3 linked regions of the Danio rerio genome follow. The protein of the gene in region 1 binds, or shares a complex with, the protein of each later gene. Links are inferred from orthologs where the notes say so. Each region holds a gene or a part of one and is shown on either strand. Other genes may lie near its edges.

Evidence for each region. The genes of interacting proteins can lie anywhere in the genome.
Region 2: ccdc135 (region 1) and drc9 share a complex: the UniProt entries of both Homo sapiens proteins name them as parts of the nexin-dynein regulatory complex. The link is inferred for Danio rerio from reciprocal best matches to the Homo sapiens genes DRC7 and DRC9.
Region 3: ccdc135 (region 1) and fbxl13 share a complex: the UniProt entries of both Homo sapiens proteins name them as parts of the nexin-dynein regulatory complex. The link is inferred for Danio rerio from reciprocal best matches to the Homo sapiens genes DRC7 and FBXL13.

Annotation. Positions count from the first base shown.
Region 1 is NC_133200.1:14,659,497-14,667,830, reverse strand, and holds the start of ccdc135 (dynein regulatory complex subunit 7), read right to left. Parts: upstream 4,979-8,334; 5' UTR 4,873-4,978; intron 4,753-4,872; coding exon 4,622-4,752; intron 1,692-4,621; coding exon 1,517-1,691; intron 634-1,516; coding exon 508-633; intron 411-507; coding exon 216-410; intron 1-215. UniProt on the Homo sapiens protein: Component of the nexin-dynein regulatory complex (N-DRC) a key regulator of ciliary/flagellar motility which maintains the alignment and integrity of the distal axoneme and regulates microtubule sliding in motile axonemes.
Region 2 is NC_133193.1:29,335,635-29,344,198, forward strand, and holds the start of drc9 (dynein regulatory complex protein 9), read right to left. Parts: upstream 4,955-8,564; 5' UTR 4,815-4,954; coding exon 4,716-4,814; intron 1-4,715. UniProt on the Homo sapiens protein: Component of the nexin-dynein regulatory complex (N-DRC), a key regulator of ciliary/flagellar motility which maintains the alignment and integrity of the distal axoneme and regulates microtubule sliding in motile axonemes.
Region 3 is NC_133200.1:19,759,095-19,767,403, forward strand, and holds the start of fbxl13 (F-box and leucine-rich repeat protein 13), read right to left. Parts: upstream 4,955-8,309; 5' UTR 4,902-4,954; coding exon 4,827-4,901; intron 4,632-4,826; coding exon 4,528-4,631; intron 4,412-4,527; coding exon 4,324-4,411; intron 4,247-4,323; coding exon 4,179-4,246; intron 4,107-4,178; coding exon 3,952-4,106; intron 1,899-3,951; coding exon 1,789-1,898; intron 1,710-1,788; coding exon 1,611-1,709; intron 1,529-1,610; coding exon 1,433-1,528; intron 1-1,432. UniProt on the Homo sapiens protein: Substrate-recognition component of the SCF (SKP1-CUL1-F-box protein)-type E3 ubiquitin ligase complex.

The sequences.
Region 1 (8,334 bases):
TGATGCTATCATGTCAACATGGACCAAAATCTCAGGAATATTTCCAATACCTTGTTGAATCTTTGCCACAAAATATTTAGAAAATTCTGAAGGGAAAAGGGGGTCCAATCCGGTATTAGTAAGGTGTACCTAATCAAGTGGCCAGTGAGTGTTTATCCTTTTTTTTTAACAGAAGATGCGCTTAATTATTCGGCTTGGAATCAGTCGGAAGATACCTGTTTTGGAGGCTTCAGCAAGGGACACTCCTGTCGGGACTGATCAAGCAGGCACATCTCTTTAGTGGCGTATCCACTGACGCAGTAAGCATTAAATCCTGCACCCAACAACAGACTACACAACACCATAGAGAACTCAAAACACGTGCCTCTCTGAGTCTGCAGAACTCGAGTTGGGGAGGACAGCTGCTTGGGCTAGAAATGAAATCAAAAAAACATGTTTTTGAGTATGAGATGCAAAAAAAAAAGCACAAGTCAAGATGGATCAACTTTAAAAAAAAAAGGAAAATACAAGTTCAAATGGTGGATCCAAAAGTTCCAGTGAGAGATAATCAGACACAAAACTGGCACATCCTTCCCAATCGTAAAGCTCAGGATATGGAAGTAAGGAGCTTCGCAAGGTGGTGCTTACAAACTTCTGAAAATATAGTGAAGAAATACATTTTTATATAATATGATTCATGAGTATTTCACAGTTTGTTATTAGAAAATTATCTACAAAAATGAATCAATAAGTTTTTTATTTATTTAATTAGTCTATGATGTTAATTATAAATATGCAGTTTAGGCATAAACTCATAATACAATTTGCATGTATTATTCTAGATTTTAAAGTCAGATTTTTTTTTATTACATTCATTTATTAACATGCAATTTATAGATTCATAACAATTTATAACTTTAATTAAAGGGGGGAAATTATATGTATTATAGTTCAGCAGTTTTACTGTAAATAATGCTTAATACAGTAATGTATCTTAATAATATTTGTGTCTTAATCATAGCTTGTAACCAAATTTGAATGTTTTTAATTACCAACTGTAAAAATACATTTATAGAAATGTATAAATAAATAATTGATATAATTTAAAATAATAATAATGGATATCATTTAAATTTTAACTATATGCAATTTAATAAATGCATAATACTATTTTTTGCCATATTCCAAAATTGAAGTTTTACAGTAGGTCTAAAACTAAACTAATCATAATTAAATTTGATAATTAATAAATACACACAATTCAAACTTAATCATTTATTCTATACTTAACTATAAACATTATAGTTATTTATAAATTAACAAATATATTTCCATTTATAATTAAGATATGATATAAAGCATTTTTAATCAGTTTATACATTTGACCCATCTACATAAATGCACTTAAAAGTGTATAACCTATATTAATTATTCATCATGCTGCAGGGTTGTGTTTTTCTTTTTTTTCTTCTTCTCATTTGTCTTGATATTCAGATTGCCTATAAAGCTGGATAATTGTCAGATTTGCTGTATGTACCTGAACACCACACTCATTTACAGGACTCAGCAGAAGTGCTTTTCTATCAGGATACAACAGCACAAACTGCTGACGGAAGTTTTCCGCCATGGCCAGCATGAGCGTCTCCTGTGAGGAATTCTGCTTGTATGAAGACGGATATCTTGAAAGATCAACTGGAGTTCTTGGTTTCATTCTGTATTACAATAAATAAGTATAACAATAAACGTAAGCAGAGAGGATAACTGTATCGTATACTAAACATAATAAAACGATGAGAGTGATAAACACAAATAACTTTTTTTAAGAAAAATATTAAAAACTTGAAATATTATTGATCATGATTTTCAAATTTTTAATTATGATTTTAATTTATTTAATTTTAAATTTCTTGTCATATATATATATATATATATATATATATATATATATATATATATATATATATATATATATATATATATACTGTATATATATATGTATATATATACACACAAACACAGCACAAAAGTATTAGGTGAAATTTTCGATCTTTTTCAAATGAGTTTCTTAACATTTAGTTTTAATAAGTAATTTATTTCGTCTTTAACATCACACATTTTACTAGATAAATTGCAAGTTGAAGGCTAAATTATTTTAACAAAGCAAGAGTATATGTACAATTGGTCAGAATTATTAGCCCCTCTTTGAATTTTTTTTATATTTCCAAAATGATGTTTAATAGAGCAAATAATTTTACAGTATGTCTGATAATATTTTTTCTTCTGGAGAAAGTCTTATTTGTTTTAATTCGGCTAGAATGAACGCAGTTTTTAATTTTTTAAAAACCATTTTAGGGACAAAATTATTAGCCCCTTTAAGCTATTTTTTCGATAGTCTACAGAACAAACCATTGTTATATATAAACTATTGTCCTAACCATAGTCCTGATCAAAACTACTAAATGTTTTTTTTAATACAAGATTTTAACTCGTTAATTGCAGAATTCATAAATGATGTCACTGATTTGGCGAAAGAAAAACATAAAATTTCTTATTTTCAATAAAAAAAGGAGTTGGACTGGATTTTTTAAACCTTGTGCATAAAAACAGGCGTTGTTTTTGTTTACTCCATGTAGTTCGGAGAGCTGAAATGCATATTTTGATTTTTACAGAGACACCAAGGTAAGGTCACACACTCATAGACACAAATACACACTTTAATTTGCTGTTATATGCCATATAAATCTATCTAAAGTGTTAATGGTGCCAACTGATGTTCAACCTTAGAAATGACAAACTTTACTTCTTCCCAACACATCATTATATAGTGTCATAAGCCACTTTTCCACTATGGTGCTGAACCGTTCTTTATGTGGAACCATGCCAAACTGGACCAGACAGTACGGATATGGTTTCATTTTCCACTGTCGTGCTGCAACAAAGCTCTTTGAAATGTTACATAAAACACATCAGTAGTTGCCTTGGTAACGTAATGTAAACGGCTCCCTTTGTACAAAGAAATTTTAATAATAGCCAACACTAGTTTTTTTCATTTTAATATGTAAAAGCGAAAGCAACCGCATGACTTAACACTTACATTATGCCGCTCTCTTGTTTGGGCTACAAGTCACAGCACCCCTATTTATTTAGAGGTCAAATGTTGCGAGGCTCTGGGCAAGCTTTACTTGGAGTGAAAAACGACCAAAATGTATGGTGATGAATGAAAATGATTGGAGGGGAAATAAATAATATATTTCAAATATCCGTACAGAACAGAAAACAAAACAATGATAATGTAACAATAATAGTGCATTTGTATTATAGTGGCAGAAATATATTTTCACTAATAAGCACTTTCACTAATAAACTATATAGCACTTAAATAATTTCATATTTAACAATCAATTAAATTACACAGCAGTTTCATATCAAAAGTTTATTAAGATATAAAATAAACTGCATTTTGATGGTAAAATATAACCTTTTAAGCGATGTCTGTTATTTGTTTCAGTATTCAAACATTAAATAACGAATGCATCAAGGTAAATAAATAAAAATTAAATAAATTTGACCTCTTCCCAACAGGGAAAACCACCAACAATCAAAAGTGCGTGATTATATGATGTCATAGTTTGCAATTAATAAATGTGATTAATGGTAGTCAATGGGGCAGCCACAAACAGTAAATTAGGGAGAGAGAAAATCTTCTGCTGCACAAAAACTAACATTAAATAATAGGCAAGGTTGTTAATAATATTTTACATGTCCAAGACTGTGATTAAATGTTTTTTTAAAAATCCAGTGTACAATTACTTTTTATATAGAAAATAAGTAATTTTGTAGGGGGTTTTCACCATATCAGTGACATCATTTATGAATTTGGCAATTAAAGAGTTAAAATCCTGTAATTTTATAAGCAATTTAGTAGTTTTGATCAGGACTGAGGTTGATTAACAGACTTATGCAAAAATTAATAAAGAAAAAATATTAATCTGATGCACTTTTACATCAGTTTATTTCATTGGATGTTTTCATCACTAATATAAAAAAGAACAGTACATTTATTTTTGTTTTTTAATTTCAAAGCATTTTCTCCAAAATATGTCAAATAAAGATTTATTACCAAAAACCATTCTGCTAGCTGAAACACAGAGAACGTTATGACCAAATTATGACTCAAAATCACCCCAGAGTGGATGAAAACATTCTTAACATACATAAGGGACACAATATTAATTCGATTTTCTTTTAACATTTATAAATCTTTCAATAATAACAGAAAATATCCTAATCATAAAAACCTGTTATATGGAGAATTTATTTGTTGAGTGACCTAAAATAACACTGACCTGGACATGTTCCTAACACGTTTTGCACAGATAAAGACAAACAAGTATAGTGTAAAACAAACAACAAGCGCGACCCTGTTCTCTGTGCACTAATGTACCCTGTAGTTTTTTTGTTAAAGTGAAACAGTTTGACTTTGGTCTACTAGCCCACAGTTGATACACCACTCATGTTTATGGCTAATGATTACAAACACTGTAAACAGCCAGCGTCCATTTACGAGAAGCCCCTGTGGAGAAACGCGAGCTTTCATGAACACACGAGTTTGCCACATGCTGATGAACTTTAATAACCTCACATGTGTGGAAGGTCTGGAGTCAATCGTATGTTATTATTAAGGCTGCTTTCAAGTTCCCGAAACCCCTTCTTTTCTTCATCATCTGTCAGAGTCGCGTCTTCCTCACTCTCCATCTCCGGTAACACTTCCATCTAATGAATTAATAAAGCAATAATTATACAGACAGACGAGAGAGGAGAAAGCAGGTCGATGACTGAAACATTAAACACATACATCTTGTTACTTTTACAGTTAGCAGTTTAAAGACTTACTGTTTATAAAAGTGAATATACGTCCCTAATCTAAATTAACTGATAAACAGTAGATTAACGTAACGAGCGGCAGGAGCGTGAAACTTTTGTTTATGTTGCGCAATTTAGTTTCCATGGCGAGGGGAGACGTGACGTAACAGCGCGGGGTGGAGTCAGCTTTTGTGTTATTTTGAATTCATTTTAAATTGTTACATTTTTAAATCAGAATAATAAATCTTCAAGTGGATCCAGGACTTTTTTACTGTATCAGACTTGAAAAGCTGAGATGCTCACTCTCTGGCTCACTAGATTCCTTTTATAAGAGTTGAGATTCCTTTCTTGACTAAGTTACACCAAAGGCCTGCCTATTACATCTGCTGCTGGCAACCTGTAACTTCTACCATTTTATTAGAAGGTTTTTTTTTTCATTATTATAATTATTATTTTAATTATTATTATTTTTACCATCTATATCCAGCTATTATTATTCATTTATTTATTTTATTTTCGGCTTAGTCCCTTTATTAATTTGGGGTCTCCACATGGGAATGAACCGTCAACTTATCCAGCATTACGCAGCAGATGCAACCCATCACTTGGAAACATCCATACACATTCACTCACACACATACACTACGAACAATTTAACCTACTACCCAATTCACCTGTACTGCATGTCTTTGGACTTGTGGGGGAAACCGGAGCACCCGGAGGAAACCCACGCCAACATGGGGAGAATATGCAAACTCCACATAGAACTGCCAACTGACCCAGTCGAGGCTCCATTATTATTTTGTCATGTATTCAATTTTTTTATTTTGGCATTTATTTATTTATTTGATGTTGTTGTTTTGTTAATTGAGTTAATGAATGAGAGGTTAGGGGATGGGATTAACCATGGACAATACATTACCGTTACCTCTCACTATTTAATTTGTATTGTCAGACAAAAGACTAATAAAAAAGACTGAAAAAAATCTTAGGTGAGTAAAGAAACATCTAATTAAAAATATTTTGTTATAAATTACTGTCACTTTTAAACTATTGCAACATTGGTGGCTAAAATATACATTTATATTTAAATTAGTTAATGTTACTGTTCCTTTATTGTGGGTGTGTATGTAGGAGCGTAAATAAAATACTCAATATTCATTTGTTTTATTGATTTTTCTAAATTTCTTTACATTCTTATAAAAATTAAAAATTTTACCTCGACAATCAAAAATGCATAATTATATGGTGTCATGGCTTTGCAATCAAAAAAATTGGTTATAATGTAAGTCAATAGGCCAAAAACAACCAAGAACAGTAAATTAGGGAGAGAAAAAATGAAAACCTTCTGTTGCACAAAAACTAACAATACATCAAAGGCAATGTTGTTACAAATCTTTCACATGTCCAAGACTGATAAAAAGTTTAAAAACTCCAGTCCACAATTATTTTTTATATTGAATTGTTTTTTTAATTTTTATATTTCTTTACATTTAATTTTATGCTTTATTTAAAGTTTTAATTTCAGCCTTAATTTAAAAAAAATTATAATTATTTCCTTAGCACAAATTGTTACATTTATGATAATAAGTTAGACAAAAAAAAAGATTATGTAGACAATAATAATAAATAGGAGTTATTTTAGTGTCTGTGATATTTGAAAATTAGTTAAAAGTATTGTAAGAATAAGGAAAATGTAAAAAAAAAAAAAAAAAAAAAAAGACTATTTATATACATGGTGTCACAGTGGAGAAGGTTGCTGGTTCAAGCCTCGGCTGGGCCAGTTGGCGTTTCTGTGTGGAGTTTGCATGTTTTCCCTGTGTAGGTGAATTGAATAAGCTAAATTGGCCGTATAGTACATGTGTATGAATGAGAGTGTATGGGTGTTTCCCAGTGTTGGGTTGCAGCTGGAAGAGCATCCGCTGCGTAAAACATATGCTGGTAAGTTGGTGGTTCTGTCTGCTGTGGTGACCCCTGATTAATAAAGGGACTAAGCCAAAAAGAAAAGAAAAGAAAAGAAAAGAAAAGAAAAGAAAAGAAAAGAAAAGAAAAGAAAAGAAAAGAAAAGAAAAGAATGAATATGTATACTGAGAGGCGCAGTGAGTAGTGCTGTCACCTCACAGTATGAAGGTCGCTGACGCTGGTTCGAGTCTTGGCTGTGTCGGTTGGCATTTAAGCGTAAATGAAATGTCAAGTACTTTCAAAATAGCCTATGCTGGCAATCAGGGGCAAATTTACCCAATAAATGAGGTAAGGTAAGCGGCCAGTAAAAGGGGCCCTGAACAATGCCAAGCAGCCTAAATTAATAATATAGCTCTTTTACAAATGTTCGATCATATTTTTTAAAATCTATATCAATTGAGATTGTAATGTTATTATTTAATTTCAAAATCGGGGGCCCGCATAAATAGTGGAACGTTTGTTCCGTACTGCACATGCAAATGTTATAATCTAATCACAAATATGGCTAATTAACTGTACATATTATTCATTTCATTCATTTTCTTTTCAGCTTAGCCCCTTCATTAATCAGGGGTCACCACAGCGGAATGAACCGCCAACTTATCCAGCATTTATTTTACACAGCAGATGCCCTTCCAGCTGCAACCCATCACTGGGAAACATCCATACACATTCATTCACACACATACACTATGGACTATTTAGCTTAGCTAATTCACCTGTACCGCATGTCTTTGTGGTATGTCTCCGGAAACCGGAGCACCCAGAGGAAACCGAACATGCAAACTCCACACAGAACTGCAAGCTGACCCAGTCGAGGCTCGAACCAGCAACCTTCTTGCTGTGAGGCGACCGTGCCACCCACTGCGTCACAGTGACGCCCTATTTGTGAATTTATTTTATTTAATTTTACATTAAGATAAAACTTCCTTTAAAATATATTTTAACATGCAGTTTATTTAAATAAAAATCGAATCTACGGAGAAAAAAAATTATCTTCAAAGAAAGAGACAGTTTTAAGTTTTAATGCTATAGGGCATACCTGGAATTGCTTTGTGTTTGTGTGTGTTTGTGTGTGTGTGGCTGTGTGGGTCACACACACACACAGGGATGAGATAATATATAATATTAGTTAGTTTTACACTTGATGTTAAAACAGACTTTTAAATGAATAAATAACATCTGTAATTTGTCTCGGGATCCACGTTGCAATCTCGACTGTAGCTAGACTGTAACTTTTTTAACTTGAAATAAAAAACTCATCAAAAACGCTTTTTACCCATTTTGTGAACAAACCTCTGCTTGTTTAGATTTTCAACTAACTCCATTGGCTTTTTATTGTTGCTTTGACTGACACAAGTCTGTTTTCTCGCGTATGTTTACACCTAAACCCACTGTCTTTGAAATAATACTCGTATAATGTAATCATGACGCATAGTGGGGGCTCCTGGCGCACTGATTGGCTCGCCGCCCCCTCGCGACGCCCCATTGGTCGCGCGCATTGATAGACGCGAGCTGAAGCGCAGCAGT
Region 2 (8,564 bases), on another chromosome or scaffold:
GTGATATGGGTAGGTCGGTGACGAAGTCGATGGCGATGTGTGACCAGGGACGGTGTGGCACCTCCAGGGGTTGGAGTAATCCAGCTGGACGGTGACGGAAGTGTTTAGACATTTGGCAGGGTGAGCATTTATTGATGAAGTTGATGACGTCTTTGTTTATGGATGACCACCAATAGCGGGATTGAATCAATTGTACAGTGGCTGTGCTGCCTGGATGACCGGAACTGGGGTGGTCATGTATCTCGGAGATGAGCTTTTCTCGAAGTGACGGAGAAACAAAGATCTTGTCTTCAGGACAGGATTGTGGTGTGGGACTGGTTTCGGCGGCTTGAAGGATTTCATGTTCGATGTCCCACTGGATAGGAGCGACAATGAGAGGATCTTTGATTATGGGTTCATCATTGTATTCGGAGGTTTCATCGTCTGAGAGGCGGGAAAGAGCATCTGCTTTGATGTTTTTTGAGCCAGGGATGTAGGTGACTTGGAAGTCGAATCTAGTGAAAAACAGAGCCCATCGAGCCTGTCTAGGATTCAGACGTTTACAGGAGCGGATATATTCCAGGTTTTTGTGATCGGTGATGACAGTGAAGGGATGTTTGGCGCCTTCAAGCCAGTGTCTCCATTCTTCTAGCGCGGCTTTCATGGCGAGGAGTTCTCGGTTTCCCACATCGTAGTTCCGTTCAGCGGAGTTGAGTTTGCGAGAATAGAAGGCACAGGGATGGAGCTTCTTCGTAACTAGTGATCTTTGGGACAGGATGGCTCCAATTCCAGTGTTGGATGCGTCAATTTGAACTACAAAGGGTTGCTCGGGATCAGGATGACGCAGAATGGGTGCACTGGAGAAGCGGGTTTTGAGCTGAGTAAACGCTCGGACAGCGTCTGGGTTCCATTTGAGGCGAGCGTTGTTAGCTTTTACCATGGCGGTAAGTGGAGCAGCGACTGAACTGAAGTTTCTTATGAAGCGCCTGTAGAAGTTAGCAAAGCCCAGGAATCGTTGAAGTTGTCTTATGGTTTCGGGTTGTGGCCATTGTGTCACGGAGTCGACCTTTTGCTGGTCCATGGCCACGCCTTCGGGACTGATGATGTAACCCAAGAACGAAATGCAGGTCTGATGGAATTCGCACTTGGAGATCTTTGCATATAGCTGGTTTTGAATGAGGTGTTCGAGCACTGCCCTGACGTGCTGAATATGCTCAGATAGCGAATTTGAGTAGACCAGGATGTCGTCAATATACACTATGACCCATTTGTTGAGCATGTCTCTAAATACCTCATTTACAAAAGCCTGGAACACGGAAGGACTGTTTGCTAGGCCGAAGGGCATAACGAGGTATTCATAGTGGCCGTCGATTGTAGAGAACCCGGTTTTCCACTCGTCTCCCTGTCGTATGCGGATGAGGTTATATGCACTACGGAGGTCCAACTTAGTGAAATACTGGGCGGATCGGAGTTGCTCAAGGGCGGCTGGAACCAATGGCAAGGGGTAGCGGTATTTGACTGTGATCTCATTTAAGCCTCGGTAATCAATGCATGGGCGTAAGCTGCCATCCTTCTTCTTGACGAAGAAAAAGCCTGCTGAAGCGGGTGAGGTAGATGGTCGGATAAAGCCCTTTTCTAGCTCCTCAGAGATGTAATTCTTCATAGCTTCAGTTTCAGGTTGAGAGAGGGGGAAGATGCGGCCACGAGGGGGCGTGGTGCCTGGTAGTAGTTCGATGGCACAGTCATTTTCACGATGTGGAGGGAGCTTGGTAGCCTTCTGTTTGTTAAATGCCTCAGTTAAATCATGATAAGCATCAGGAACATGACAGAGTTCAGGGTCTTCTGTGTTGGTAATTGTGTTGATCTGGACAGGGGAAACAGAATGCAGACATTGGGTAAAGCATTGATTGCTCCATTTTGTGATCTCACCAGTTCTCCAGGAGACTTGAGGGTCATGTTGTTGTAGCCATGGTAACCCAAGAATTACAGAGTGCTTGGGGGACTCGATGGCAAGAAGGGAAATCTCTTCTTCATGGAGAGAGCCTGTTTGAAGAGAGATTGGTTGAGTCTGGAATTTTATGTGTCCCTCTCCCAAAGGGCGCCCGTCTACAGCAGTGATGGCGATGGAGGAATCACAGGAGGTTAAGGGAATGGAGTGAGTGGTGGCAAACGTGTAATCAATAAAGTTGCCAGCGGCTCCTGAATCGATCATGGCCATAGTCTCAATTTCATCTCCATTGTTTCTCAGAATGACAGGCAAATTCATAACATTATTAGTGGTAGTGAACATAGTGGTTGCACTCACCGAGACGGTTTTAGGGAGAGGCTTGTGGGGACATAAAACCTTCGTATGACCTGGAAGTCCGCAATAAATGCACAGGTGATTTCTTCTCCGTCGTTCTCGCTCCTCTGGGTTCAGGCGGGTTCTACCCAATTGCATGGGTTCAGCGGAGGTCTCAGGGGATACAGGACTGGAAGCAATTGAGCACAGTGGATTGCGAGTGCGGAGGAGAGTGTCTAACCTTATAGAAAGTTTGATTAGTTGATCCAGTGTTTTTCCCTCGTCACGACATGCCATCTCTTTCTGCAATTCTGGTTTTAAAGCCGTTCTGTAGAGCGTGGTAAGCGGATCATCAGCCCAGCCAGTTTGCGCTGCCAAGGTGCGGAACTGCAGTGCGAACTCAGCTGCGGAGCGATCTCCCTGTTGGATGCACAGTAGCTCCTCGCCAGCGTTGCGACCACCCTCCGGATGATCAAACACAGTGCAGAAACGTTTGAGAAAGTCATTAAACGAGGGAAATATCGGGGTACTGTCTGGCCAAACTGCAGTAGCCCAGTCTAGCGCTTTTACAGTGAGCAGTGAGCACACAAAAGCAATTTTCCCATTCTCGTCCTTAAACAGATGGGGCTGTTGGGCGATAAACAGTTTACATTGCAGTAGGAAGCCTTTACATTTTGCTGGGTTACCTGAGAACTTGTCAGGGAATGCCAATCGAACTCCGGAAGTCATCGGGGGTTGTGCAACAACAAGTGGACTTGGAGAGTAGTTGGCGGTGGGTTGCGCAGTGGCAGCAGCTTGCAGGTTTTGTAGGGATTTCACCAGTTCGTCTGTTAACTGAGTTAGATGTGTTAGTTGTTGTTGGTAAGTAGACAATACCTGAGCTTGTGCTGTGACTTCGTGAGACAAAACCTGGATGGCTGCGGGATCCGTGTTGGGCGAAGTCTTCTGTAACGGGGAGACTGACATGGAGGGATCCATTTTGCAGTATTTATTAAGTCACACTTAAACATCAACAACTCGCACGGCTGTGCGGACATACAACATACACATCAAAGGAGGTTTAGCAGATAACAGACGCAGAGTGATTACCAGGCTTGGGTCAGAGGCAGGCAGCGTGATTCAGAGTCCATGTAACAGGCTTTGGTCGAGGGCAGGCAGCGAGAATCAGAGTCCGAGGAAACAGGCTTTGGTCGAGGGCAGGCAGAAGACAGAGCAGAGTCGTGAAACGGGCTGAAGTGGTAAACGGGAGATCAGGCAGGATAGAACGCTCAGAAATGCTGGCCGGGGCTAAACAAGACTTCGCACTGAAGTGTGTGTGTGAGCTGCTTATATGTGGTACGTGGGTCATTAGTGGAATGGAGAACAGGTGTGCTGGGATCAGGGTGAATGGATGACGTAATGGTTAGAAGTCCGGAGATGGTGACCTCTGCTGGTCAGCGAGGGGAATGACTGGGACCGAGTCGGTGACACAGACGTTGGATTTTGGTTGCCATACCTGATGAATAAATGTCAGTATTTGACGTTAATATGACTTTGGTTTAAGATGTTGGCTCAGCTGTGGATTTTGGTCTCTTTCTAACAAGCTACAATCGATAAAATATCAACGTCATTTGACGTCATTATTGGATATCAAAATAACGTCCTTAGACACTGGCAAGACATAGAATTTTGGTCACCTGACATCACAACCTAAATCAAACATAATATAATTTTTTTATGACGTTGTGGGCATACTGGACAATAACTATGCACTACAGAATGTCACATTTAAACACATGCACAAATTACATGTACACGCATTAGCTTTTTACAGCACTATATATATATACATATAATTTTTTTGATTTTTTTTTAACACACACGCCTCACCTAGAAATGAGCACTGGTTAAATGATCACCAGTGCTACCTCCTCATAATGTGCTATATATATATATATATATATATATATATATATATATATATATATATATATATATATATGAGAGTTTAGTATGTTTGGGAGTTTAGTCTTCATAAGACTTTGTAGAAATTCTGTTAATTAAACTGCACAACCCAAAAGAAACAATGATAATCAAACGGATATGAGTCGGCTAACTATTGAATTGATTTTATTTTATTTGACATTTTTGCATTATGAGAAAAAAGTGTCGTTATGGATGTGACAGCTGTGAATTTGACCAATTATTTGACCAAAACCAAAAAGTGTTACTTTGTGCCCCGCTCTACCCTACTAAAAATAATTTCATGACTTGAAACTGTTTAAAATAATGTTTAACGCAACAACATCATATAATAGCCTATCAACCAACAAATCCTAACTTTGTTTAATTCACCAATAATTATTGGCCATGACACTAAATATAAAACATAATTTAACAAGCATATCGGGCATAACCGAGCAAATGTAGCAGGAAGCAGATTACTAAATGTCCTAAATTTGATGTTGTTACTCACAGTCTCCGCTCCGGGGCGTATAATATTTCCTAACACTGACAGCTGATCAGCGCAATCCTGCAGCAAAGCACACGCTCTGAGCTCCTCCACGGACGTCATACTGCTGATTTGGGCTATATAGAAATTTAGATAAATATATAAATAAAATTAAAAGGTTTCTTTCTTTTAATCCTTCTAAACAAAGAGGCAAATCAGCCGTGAAGAAGACGCTACACGTGCAGCTGTAGCAACAGCGTCCGTCGTCATGACAGCACGTCTTGTACACACAGATCCGCTCCGTTTGCTGGCTGTTCTTACAACAGACTGAATTAATTTACGTTCATGAACATCATGTTTTGACCAGTTTTCCATGCATTTTTTGTCTGCTAGAAGGTGGTTTATTGACAAAACTGACTTATTTTGACATTTTGACTTATTTTGTTTTTCTTTATCTTAAACATGCTGTTCATTGGTAATGTTCAGGACTTCTAGGTATTTTTATAGGTAACCCTTTTAAGATTTATAATCAGTAGATTTGTCTACAATACTCAGTTTTGGGCTGCACGGTGGCACAGTGGGTAGTTCGCCTCACAGCGAGAAGTTTGTTTGTTCGAGCTTCGGCTGGGTCAGTTGGCGTTTCTATGTGGAGTTTGCATGTTCTCCCTGTGTTTTCGTAAGTGTGTTTTTTGGGTGCTCCGGGTTCCCCCATAAGTCCAAAAACATGTGGTATGGGGAGAGCGGGGGACGTGTAACACTTTTTGGTTTTGGCCAAATATAAAATATATGGTTAGACAAACCATATTTTTAACCAACAACACACAAGCCTCTCCTACAAATGAGCACTGGTTGTATGATCGCCGGACGTATGTGCATTGCCAAAAGTGCCAGGAGTAAAAAATACTATTTACCCCACCTGTGGGGCAAGTTGTGACAGACAGAGTTTTAGTTGTAACATATGCTTATAAAGACATATTTAGTATTGCAGGTTTCAATGCTGGTTTTGCTGGTATGGATGCTTGTTTTGCTGATCTCGATGCTGGTCTTGCTGAAACCAACATTGAGACCAGCAAAATCAGTATTGAAACCAGCAAAACCAGCATCGAGACCAGCATTAAAACCAGCAAGACCAGCATGAAAACCAGCGAGACCAGCAAAACCAGCATTGAAACCAGCAAGACCAGCATCGAGACCAGCAAAACCAGCATCGAGACTGGCAAGACCAGCATCGAGACCAGCAAAACTAGCATTGAAACAAGCAATACCAGCATTAAACCCAGCAAGACCAGGATCGAGACCAGCAAAAACCAGCATTAAAAACACCAAGAGCAGCATCGAGACCAGCAAAACCAGCATTAAAACCAGCAATACCAGCATCGAGACCAGTAAAAACCAGCATTGAAACCAGCAAGACCAGCATTAAAATCAGCAAGACCTGCATACCAGCAACAATACATACCTTACCAGTATGCTAGGTTTTTTTTTGTTTTTTTTTTTATAGCAGGGATAGTGTAAGGCTGCGTTTTAGCTGGATTAGCTTGTCGGCTGGTCATTATAACTACAATTTTTAAAGTAGGCTACCAAAATATTTGCTAAAGATTTAGAATAAAGAAATATGAATAAATATTTATTTTTAATATTCAAATTTATTACATCATATTTCATTATAATTTTTTAAAAATCTGTTAAAGTTTTAAACAAAAACTGTTGTCTATTGTCACTTATGTAACAAATTGGCCAGCACATTCAACTTTCCTCAGTCAGAATTTGGCTGTTTGAAAAATAAAAAGATAAAATATAATAATAATAAAAGGGTTTCATGATTTGTCTTGCCTCTCTTGTAAAAAGTACATGTGATTAAAAATTAATGGATAGCCAAATTAGTATTTTAGTGCTTTGGCTATTTTTATTTCAAGAATATTTGTTACAAGATTCAGAATAAAAGTTACAAGTAAAATGTTTTCTCTATTTAAAAACAATCCAGTAGTAAAGGATGACTTCTCTTATGTCAGATTGTGTTTTCTTGCACAGCTGGATGTTGAAAAATAATAGTTTGCCTTGAACAAAACTGATTAGCTGAAGTCACACTGATGTGACGGTCAACAGAGGATTCCACTTAGTCTTAAAGCCTTTTTCAATTGGTTATTTTTTTTTTTTAGAATTTATGATGGTGAAGCAGTCAAAATAGGACAAATGAGCTCATTGGACAAACTAACTTTGGACCTTTGTCATTGAGGAGGGTCTTTCTAACCACCAAATAACCCCCTGGCCATGGAGCTGTACTTCTATCACTGTTTCATTACTCATTTAAGCTTACCCCCAAAACCGGATTAAAACCAGCAAGACAAGCATTGAGACCAAAACCAGCATTGAAACCAGCTAGACCAGTATTGAAACCAGCAAGACCAGCATCAAAACATAGAGTATATGCTGTTTTTTTGTATTTTGTTTTTCTTGTTTATTTTTAAGCAGGGAAGGTGTAAGGCAGAGTTTCTCAACCACGTTCCTAGAGGACCACCAGCACTGCATGTTTTGAATGTCGCCTTTGTCTGTCACACCCATTACAGGTGTAGTCTCTGCTAATGAGCTGATGATCTGAATCAGGTGTGTTTGGTTAAGGAGAGGTGGAAAATGCAGAGCTGGTGGTCCTAGGAACGTGGTTGAGAAACACTGATGTAAGTTTTGTTTTCTTCCTAAATTGTGGACCTTTTTGGAGTTATCTGCCTCGTTTTTTTTAAATACTGCATTTTAGCTGTATTAGCTTGCCGGCTGATCATCATAGCCACACTATTTAACGTAGAGCTACCAAAGTATTTCCCAAAGATTTAGAATAAAGAAATATGAATTTAGGGCAGTACAGTGGTGCAGTGGGTAGCACAATAGAACAAAATTATAGTAAACGAGCTTTGTGAGTTGTCAGTAAAAAAGTACATTTGATTGAAAATGAATGGATACCAGCACTAGCCAAATTAGTATTCAAATTCATTTTTAATTTGGGCCCCTTTTGGTGCACAGCTGGATGTTGGACTCATGAAAAATAATAGTTTGCCTTGAACAAAAACTGATTAGCTGAAGTCATACTAATGTGACAGTCAACAGAGATTTACGCTTAGTCTTAAAGACGTTTTCAATGGGTTATTTTCACAATTTATGATGGTGAAGCAGTCAAAATTAGACAAGTAAGCTCATGGGACAAACTCTGGACCTTTGCCATTGAGAGGCGTTTTTCGAACCACACAATAATAACCCCCTGCGGACTGTACTTCTATCTCCTGTTCCTTTACACTGAAAATCTTACTGTTTTCTTCAAACCTCAAACTTAAAGGTACTGTACCTTTAAGTAATGTACCTTTAAACTTAAATACTGCAGTTGACCATAAAATTAGGCTACATTTCATTTTTAAGCCTACTCAGCCTCCACTTGTTCCAAACCTAGTTCAACTTTATCGTCTTAACACAAAGGAAGATTTACTGAAAAAATGTTTGGGGGAAATAAAACAGCCACTTCCATACTATTTAGTTCCTACAATGGGAGTCTGAACTGATAGTGAGAAAATTTTTAGTTTATGGAGCCATATCCCATTAAAATATTAGCTTTCGTGTATGTTACTTTTTCTAAACAGCAGAGGGCAGCAGAACGCGGGATAATGCTCCGCGCATGTCAGGCTGTACTAACAGAACGCAGAGTAGTCTACTTCAATAGATAACACGTAGAGCACGTGCGGCAGGATTAAACCACAACACTTAAATGTCCCTCTACAATTGCAAATGCCTGTAACAAATGTCTTAAGTATTTACAAAGCCTCCAGACTGACTGACAGGCCAGTAGGATATAAATGGTGAGAGCTCAGACAGTCGCACACACACACACCT
Region 3 (8,309 bases), about 5.1 Mb from region 1:
ACACTTAGCAAACGACACTATGTCAAAACGACATAAACAACATTTTAAAAAACTCAGCAACAATGCTAATGCGTCCATTTGACATCTACACACTGATGATTACACTGGATTATATTGTAGATTGTAGATTGTATCCTTACAATGCATGTACAGTAAAGTACCTTATTGTCAAAACAACATCAAATTGACATCTTACATTTGCATAAAAACACGTCAAAAAATCGATTACAGGATAGTTTTTGATTCGTCTTCTTCTGAGTTAACATTTATAAAAGTCTGGTCTTAAAGTATTCCTAAAACTTGAAGCTTAAACTACCAAACTCACATTAGACAGTCATTCTGATCAACATGTTTATGCAATATAACTTCTAAATGATCCTCAAAATAAAGAAATCCCAAAGACTTTCATTGCCAGGCTTTAACTTTCAGATCTTAAGCTACTTGCAAACTAGAAAAGCCTATCAACTAGCATACAACGTGCTAACCATGCAAGAAACATGCTTGCTGGATAACACTGTAATTTATGCTGGAGACATGTTATTTGCTATCAACTTTATGCTTGAAATTAATTTGTGCTAACAGTATAGTGGAATTTACATTAGCAGCTAGCTTATTGTTAGAAGCATAAATGCAAATTCACTAATAAAGCATAGTTAACATACTAATACTTTTTATTCATATTAGAAAGATGGTATTTTAAATTATAAACATGGTAACAGCATGCTAATTGCTAACAACAAGATATGCCAGTTCATGTTAGATACATATATTTAAGTTTGAAACATGTAGATTGTTGTTTGAAATATGCGAGCAACATGCTAATTCATGTGAGAGGCACACAAACAAAAGTCTAGCTAGCAACATACAGTAATAGTGCTTGTTATAAAATAAACAACATGCTAAATCATGTTACAAACATACTAATTCATGTTAATAATTTCTCTAACATCTAACAACATAAAAATTTAGAAATCTTTGTCAAGACAACATTAAGTTTTACCATAAAAATTTCCTCATTTTGATTTCCAATTGATATAATATTTTTTGTCTGTGAGTTCAATGGGAAATAAATCTTGTTAGCTTTTACCTTAATTCCACATAAGAAGGTAATTTAAATTTGGAACATGAGGGTTCAATGAGGGTGATGTTAAAGCATTACTAACTGACATTTCATTGAATCTGCCTTGTATTTAATGAGCATCTTATATTTTCATGCATTGTCACAAATGAAACAACACTTTCAAGTGCAAGTACACAATATGCTTTAATATAATTATTAATATAACATCATTGTGTTTAAAAAAGGGCAAATCTGTTGATTTTCTTATATACTTTTACTATATTCTTAAAGATTTTATGTATACAAATATTAAACATGCACTTCTAAATTCTAAAGGGAAAATTTGACAGTTTTTAGGTCAGCTGCACTAACCTCAGTCCACAGTGAGCTGATTTGAGTGATTGCTTTCCATGATTGACAAACCTGAGCACATTTCAGCAGGTCTCGCACACCTAGACTTTGGAAGATCTGCACCAAACGGTTCATTTCAATCACAGCTGATTGTACGTTTTTGCCAGTTATTTAACAGTTAGTGGTAGTCAAATGATACCTTGAGAAACAGCCTGTTGGGCAGCAGTGACAGATTGTCCTGTCCATCACCCTGTGGTATGCCTGAGTTCTGGCTTTCCTTCATATCTCTTTCTAGTTTCTGAACAGACATGTATAATAGCTGAATATCTCATGAATTCAATGCATTTGGGTTTAGCTGATTGTTTTAATAATTATACCTTAAAGTATTCCTTTGTTCTTTTAGCGTCCTGCACAACATGACGCCAAGCCGTGATGATTTTTCTGCAGTGTACAGACTCTTGAACCTTCTGTAGTTTCCTCTCTGCATCTAGATAAATTAAAGAATGCCTTGTTTCATGATATATAGAGAGAACAGAAATAATAACACACTAAATTTATATGGTAACATGCAAACTAGTAAAAAAAAAGCATATGGGCAGAATTTAAACAAACAAATTACATTTAGTAATGTTCAACTTAATTTGTTTGCTTAAAATGAGCCCATATAAATTGTTTAAACCAGTTACCTTAAAACAATTCAGTAAATCCAATGATTAAATTTTTTTTTCAGTGTAGTTACTAACTTTATTGTAACATATATTACAAATAACTCCACTTATACAATGGTTACTAAAGACATTGTGCTGATTTTATTTCAAGATATGTGTCCGTCTTTTGACACTAGATTTTGCATTTCATCCCAAGTCTCTGTTGCTACTTTATTTGCAAAATGTTATTTTAGAGCTTATGAAGTGAAGTACTGTGAGATTTAAATGTATTTAAATGTACCAAAAAGAAAACAAAATTCTGCCATTATTGCCATTATTTATTCATCCTCTACAAAGGAAGATAAGCTGAAAGAGCTGTCCTTGACTTCCGGAATATTTTAGTTTGCTAATTTTACCTTTTGTTGAATCCATTTATTCATATAAATTCAGCATTTTTATTTATTTATTTTATTTTTTAATCAGAAAATCAATCAGAGAGTTGCATTGAGAAACCCATGACAAAAAAAATTGAAAAATGCTATAATTCTTTAACTTATTAAAGTTGTTAAGAACACAGTGTTGTACCTTGAGGCCTTTTTATGGATGTATGCTTTCTGAGTCTGAGTGAAATCAAAATTTACAATGTTTGTTTTGCATATCGCACATTGTAATTCTTTGGGTAAACAATTAATCCACTGAAAAAAAAGTTTGTTTGAGTAATCTTGTTGAGCTTTGAGTGCGTAGATTAATCATTAGACAGAATGAATCGTTTTTAGCAGTGCCTTTTTATTTCTGACCTTCACGTGCTCTCTCTGTACAGTATGAACATGAGATGGTAAAACTTCCTTATAAAAAAAACAACAACAGTATAACATGGAAACGTAAAGCATGTAAAAAAAAAACATGACGTCATCATTAAAGTACAGTAATACACTGAATCAAAATGTCAAACCCTTCAGTGATTATATCATTACAACAAGTAGAGTGCTAGTACTTTAACAAATCTTCAGTCCAAATCTGACCATTTGCATTGATTTTTGGAGGGGGGGGTCTTTCTCTGTTGATGTCAGAATGATGGCTTCAGCCACAACATTCTTAACCATGCCCCTCTACCATTAGTTTGCTATGAGGGAATAAAAAGCACTGCCCTCTACTCAGTACCTGCTTTTAGATTAAATTGGAAGTACTGTACATCAACACACTGAAAAAAAAGTCTAAGAAACCTCCAGTTTATTCTGATCTTTTAGGTTTATAAAGACTTTTTTGAAACTTACCTCAACATCTCAGTCTCACTGATTCACAATTTATAGCCAATTATGATCAAGCATTCAAAGGCACATTAAGTAATTTTCTCCGCTCTAGAGGGCGTCCATTCACAACAAACAAAGGCTTAGTTTGCGGATGTCGTGATCGTGTGTGTAATCATCAAGTTTTCAAAAATGAAGGGTTTATGATGTCAAATATTATTATTATTATTATTTGAACATTAAACAAAACTTTTGGCATAATGTAAGTACATAAGTACAAAATATATAATAGTGTTCTGACAATCCAACATGTGCTTTTAGCGGGCCTGTAATAAACAGTACCTGCTGACAGTAATGGGTTACATTTTATCTGGATTACTTAATCTTTCTCCAAAAATGACTTGCAATTATTATTATTTATTATAATTTAAAATGTTCATAACCGGAATTATTATTTTTTTTACAGATTACATAATTATTGTACAATTTCATAGGTGAGTTTTCCCGTTTTCAATTCACAATATTCAAGGAATCAGAATCAAGCATCCAGGGGCACATGTATAACTAAATTTGACTGGGATTTCTGAAATATTTAAAGTATCTCCAATATCATCTGTTTGTATTATAGACCATGAAAGCTAAATACCTTTCCATCGCTGTTTCTGAAACTGAACCCATGCTGTCCACTTTATGAAAGCCAGTTTTATCCTTCTCTGTGTGTGATACATCTCAGCCTCCTCCATTCTTTCAAGGAGCCGGGCAGCCTTCATCTTTTTCTGCCAGATGTAACTCTTCCAACCCCTTTAATATGAAAAGACAAGATATTAAAAGAGCTGACTTTTAAATAATTTATTCTGTACTTTAAAGACTTACGTGAAACACATTTTGGTCAGATTGGTGTGGTAACAAGTGTAAGCTTTCTCCAGCAAATGTGACAGATTCTATGAGGGAGGAAAATGAAATGAGTTTATGCTTATAAACATTCACTCTGAATAAAAACATACAAAGAGAGTTTTACCAGGCTGTCTTCTGGATATCCAAAAATATAATTCACAATGCCTCCTGCCAATGAGGAGATTTGTTTGTCTTTGTCAATAAATGTGTGCCTGAAATATATAAAAAAAAACATGTTTAGGAATATTAACCTGAACTTGATTTTGCAATAAAAAGGCACAATTTATTTATAGTTTAATGAAACAAATATATAAAGAAGCCAACATACCAGACAATCTCAAAATCTTGATCCTGTAGGATTGATAGTATTTTTTCCTCCATAAAGTGTAAAGGATCTTCAGGACATGAGACACATAAGCCAGAAAGTAAAGCCTAGATAAAATGGAATAATATATATACAACAATAACTACAACAACAAGAACCACTTCAAATCAAAATACAGTTAAATTTTTAAAATATTTTTTAAATACATTGAAATATGAAATAAAATATTTTTTCAAATGTAAAATCAATAAAGTTACAACTTAAAATAAACTAAAATTATTTTAAAAACAAACCTAAATCACCTTGTAAATCTGAGGTAGTGAATGTTTAATAATGTAGTCTCTAAAAATCGCATCTGAATCTTGCAAAAATGCCATTATAAAAGCGGTGAGAGAGTCACTGTGAATGGTAGATGATTTCCTGCTGTCAGTGTAACAATAACCTGAGACACTTTTGTCAACATTTACCTTTCATGTTACTTGGTTACCTGAACAATTGGTTGGTCACATGAAATAACCCCAAAAGTAAACTACAATAAACACAGAACAATAAATGTATATACTTTTATTAAAGAAAGTTTTCTTAAGCAATTGTATAACACACTTTTATAATATTTTTTTTATAACAGTTTATAGATAAATAGATAGACAGACAGACAGACAGACAGATAGACAGATAGATAGATAGATAGATAGATAGATAGATAGATAGATAGATAGATAGATAGATAGATAGATAGATAGATAGATAGATAGATAGATAGATAGATAGATAGATAGATAGATAGATAGATAGATAGATAGATAGACAGACAGATAGGATGATTATAGTATAATTTTACCTTAAAATGGCTTTTAAAAAAATTCTAAGCTGATATTATTCTTGCCAACATAAAACAAAGACTTCCTCTAGAAGAAAAAAATATTATCAGACATACTGTGAAAATTTCCTTGCTCTGTTCAACATCATTTGAGAAATATTTAAAAAAGAAAAATTTAGCTAATTGCTAATTCAACTAACATAAACTAAAATAAAGACAAGCTATATAGGCATAAAAAACAGATAAATAAAAAATGTACAAATTAAAATTATTAATACTTCAACTACAACTTAAAAGTAAAAATGGAAAATATAAAATTAAAAGTACAATAGGATAACAATGACAAAAATAAAGCTAGTGCTTAAAAGGTCCGTGTAGGTCCGTGTACGTTTTGTTCATTTGTTTTTCATTTTCAAACGGAATAAAGGAAATGGAGAAAACGGACGTTTTTCCGTTTTTCTTTTGCTCACGAGAAAACGAAAAAACGAGATTTTGGCTGGGTTTTTCGTTTTTTTGGTTTAGGGTAGGAAAACGGATAAACGACTTTAAAATTCTTTTTACACATGTAGGCGGTGCTGAAACGCCCACTTTCCTCTAATTGGTTAACCAAATCTGCGCTCGTGACGTCACTCTCAAAATAAAAGCCTTACACGCAGGCTTTTAATTATTATTATTTAATTATATATATAAACAAAGTTTACATATTCTATCATTTGAACCACACACAGTTAGCAGGCTTACATTCATTGCGTATGTATAAATTAAATAAAAACGTAAATCAGCAGTATTCTTAGACATTTGTCATTAAAATAAGGTCATAGTTCACTGCCAAGCTTCTTGCTGCTGTGCACCTGATGCTGAGCAAAGATAGCCATTTCCGAGCAGCACCTAGTTTACATGATTGTTTCAGAGCTATTGTAGGCCTAAATAATAGCCTACTCTGTATAAAATAATAATTTATTATTATTATTATTATTATTATTATTATTATTATTAGGCCTATTATTATTAGTATTGTTATTATTATTATTTACTTAGTTATTCAATGGTTGTAAGAACACATTGGACCCTGCATGGGGCTATAATAAATGGTACCATTTGTTTCTATTGGATTTTCTCCTATTTTAATTTAATATATGCCTTTAGCCTATTGTAAATATTTATTTGATAATTAATACTTTTTTATTGCAACGTCAAAGTAGGCCTGTCTTATTATTATTATTTTTTATTATTATTTTGTCGTTATTGTTGTTATTATTATTGTAGCAGAGACATAGCCACAGGTGTGGCAGAGTGTGCTGGTGCCACCCAAAGTGGCATCTTGCACCTGAAAATAGATGCCTTTGCGCTCAAGCGCGTGCAAAAAACTTGCACAGGCAAAAGTAATGATGAATGTGTTGAAGGAAAAAAAAAAACATTCTAATTATTTGTTAATAAAATAGTGCAACATTATTCTCAGTCAGTGTAGGCTGAAAAAATTAAGATCGCCAGCATTTCAAGGGTGGTTTTATTTTTAGTTCATTGCTGTGACGCACTATATTTCACTAAGGCAGCATGAGACTGCGCATCTTGCTTATTTTCTCTATTTTACATACAGAACATATCATACAGTCCAGGTTCTACCGTTCTAGTGAGTGTGGGGCATTGCTTTACAGTGGTAAAGTGGATTATTTCTTGGCAAATTCATAATGATTCACTTTGTTTAGTAATAAATTTCATAGTTATAAAATAACTACATTTCAAGAATATGTTAACACTTTCAACTATTTAGGATTATTTATTCCATCAAAAGTAATTTCAAAGTAACATTAAATGTACGTATAAACTGCTTAATTGTGTGTGTAAACACCTAAGATGCAAAAAGCTTATTTAGACCAGAATAGGCCTACTAAATGCAACGGTCAATGTATGTAAACTTATGACCTAAAATGTCTTAAATGACTAAATTTAAGTCTTTTTAAGTTTTTAAATAATTTAAGTTTAACATAAATGATTTAAACTTTAAACTTCAAATTAACAGAGTATGGCAAATAAATTGTTTATTAAATGGAGGTCAGGTGTCTATCTTAATTATAATTATTAAATATTATGACACTATAATTCAGTGGTGTATTGGAGAGTACGCACCTTTTAATTAATTAATTTTAAATAAGTGGTTTATCCTAAATAAAATGCAATGGGATCGGTGTGCAATGAATAGTTTGAAAACCCCTGGTTCAGACTAGACGAGCTAGCTGTCTGTGCGCTGCGCTAATAACTTGACATTTGCTCTTTTCGGTGCTGCCAGATGCATTTATAGTGCAAAAAAATAAAAAAGGTAATTCGGCAGAAATAAGCGCACTATATGAATATGTCGAATTAAGTTCTCTTTTTCTTTAATCAAGACTTTTTCCATTCGAGGAATTACAGTTATTAATAGCTTAGTCCTTATAAACGATCAGTTTATAAAATACACAATTTACGGATCAAGCCTAATGAAGAATAAGAAGAATATGTGACATGTTAAATATATAGTATAATTTGCTGGTTTTAAACATACAGAATAATAATAAATATAGTTATGAAACAACCATAACACCAAATGTTGACTAATGAAAGTACATTTATAACAACTATTTATTTGTTAGACTTCTGTATTGTCAAACCATGTTGCATACAAATGCATTCAACAGACTTATATGACAGTGCATTGCTGTAGAGGACAAATAAAACACGAGACAGGTGTTTAGAAAGAGTATAGTTTATTTAGTTTGACATGCAAACTTATCTAAACAAGACACACTTTCAGAAAACAGCCCGGAAACATTATAATGCGCGCGCTCGTGAATATAACCCGCGGTTGTCTTCAACTGTTGTCTTCAATAGTCCTTCTTTGCTCAACAACTGAGCTGAAAAACAAAGCAAAACATTACAACAGTCAGACATGGAGCAAAGAGCATAGAATTACCAAGAGGCGACACTCTAC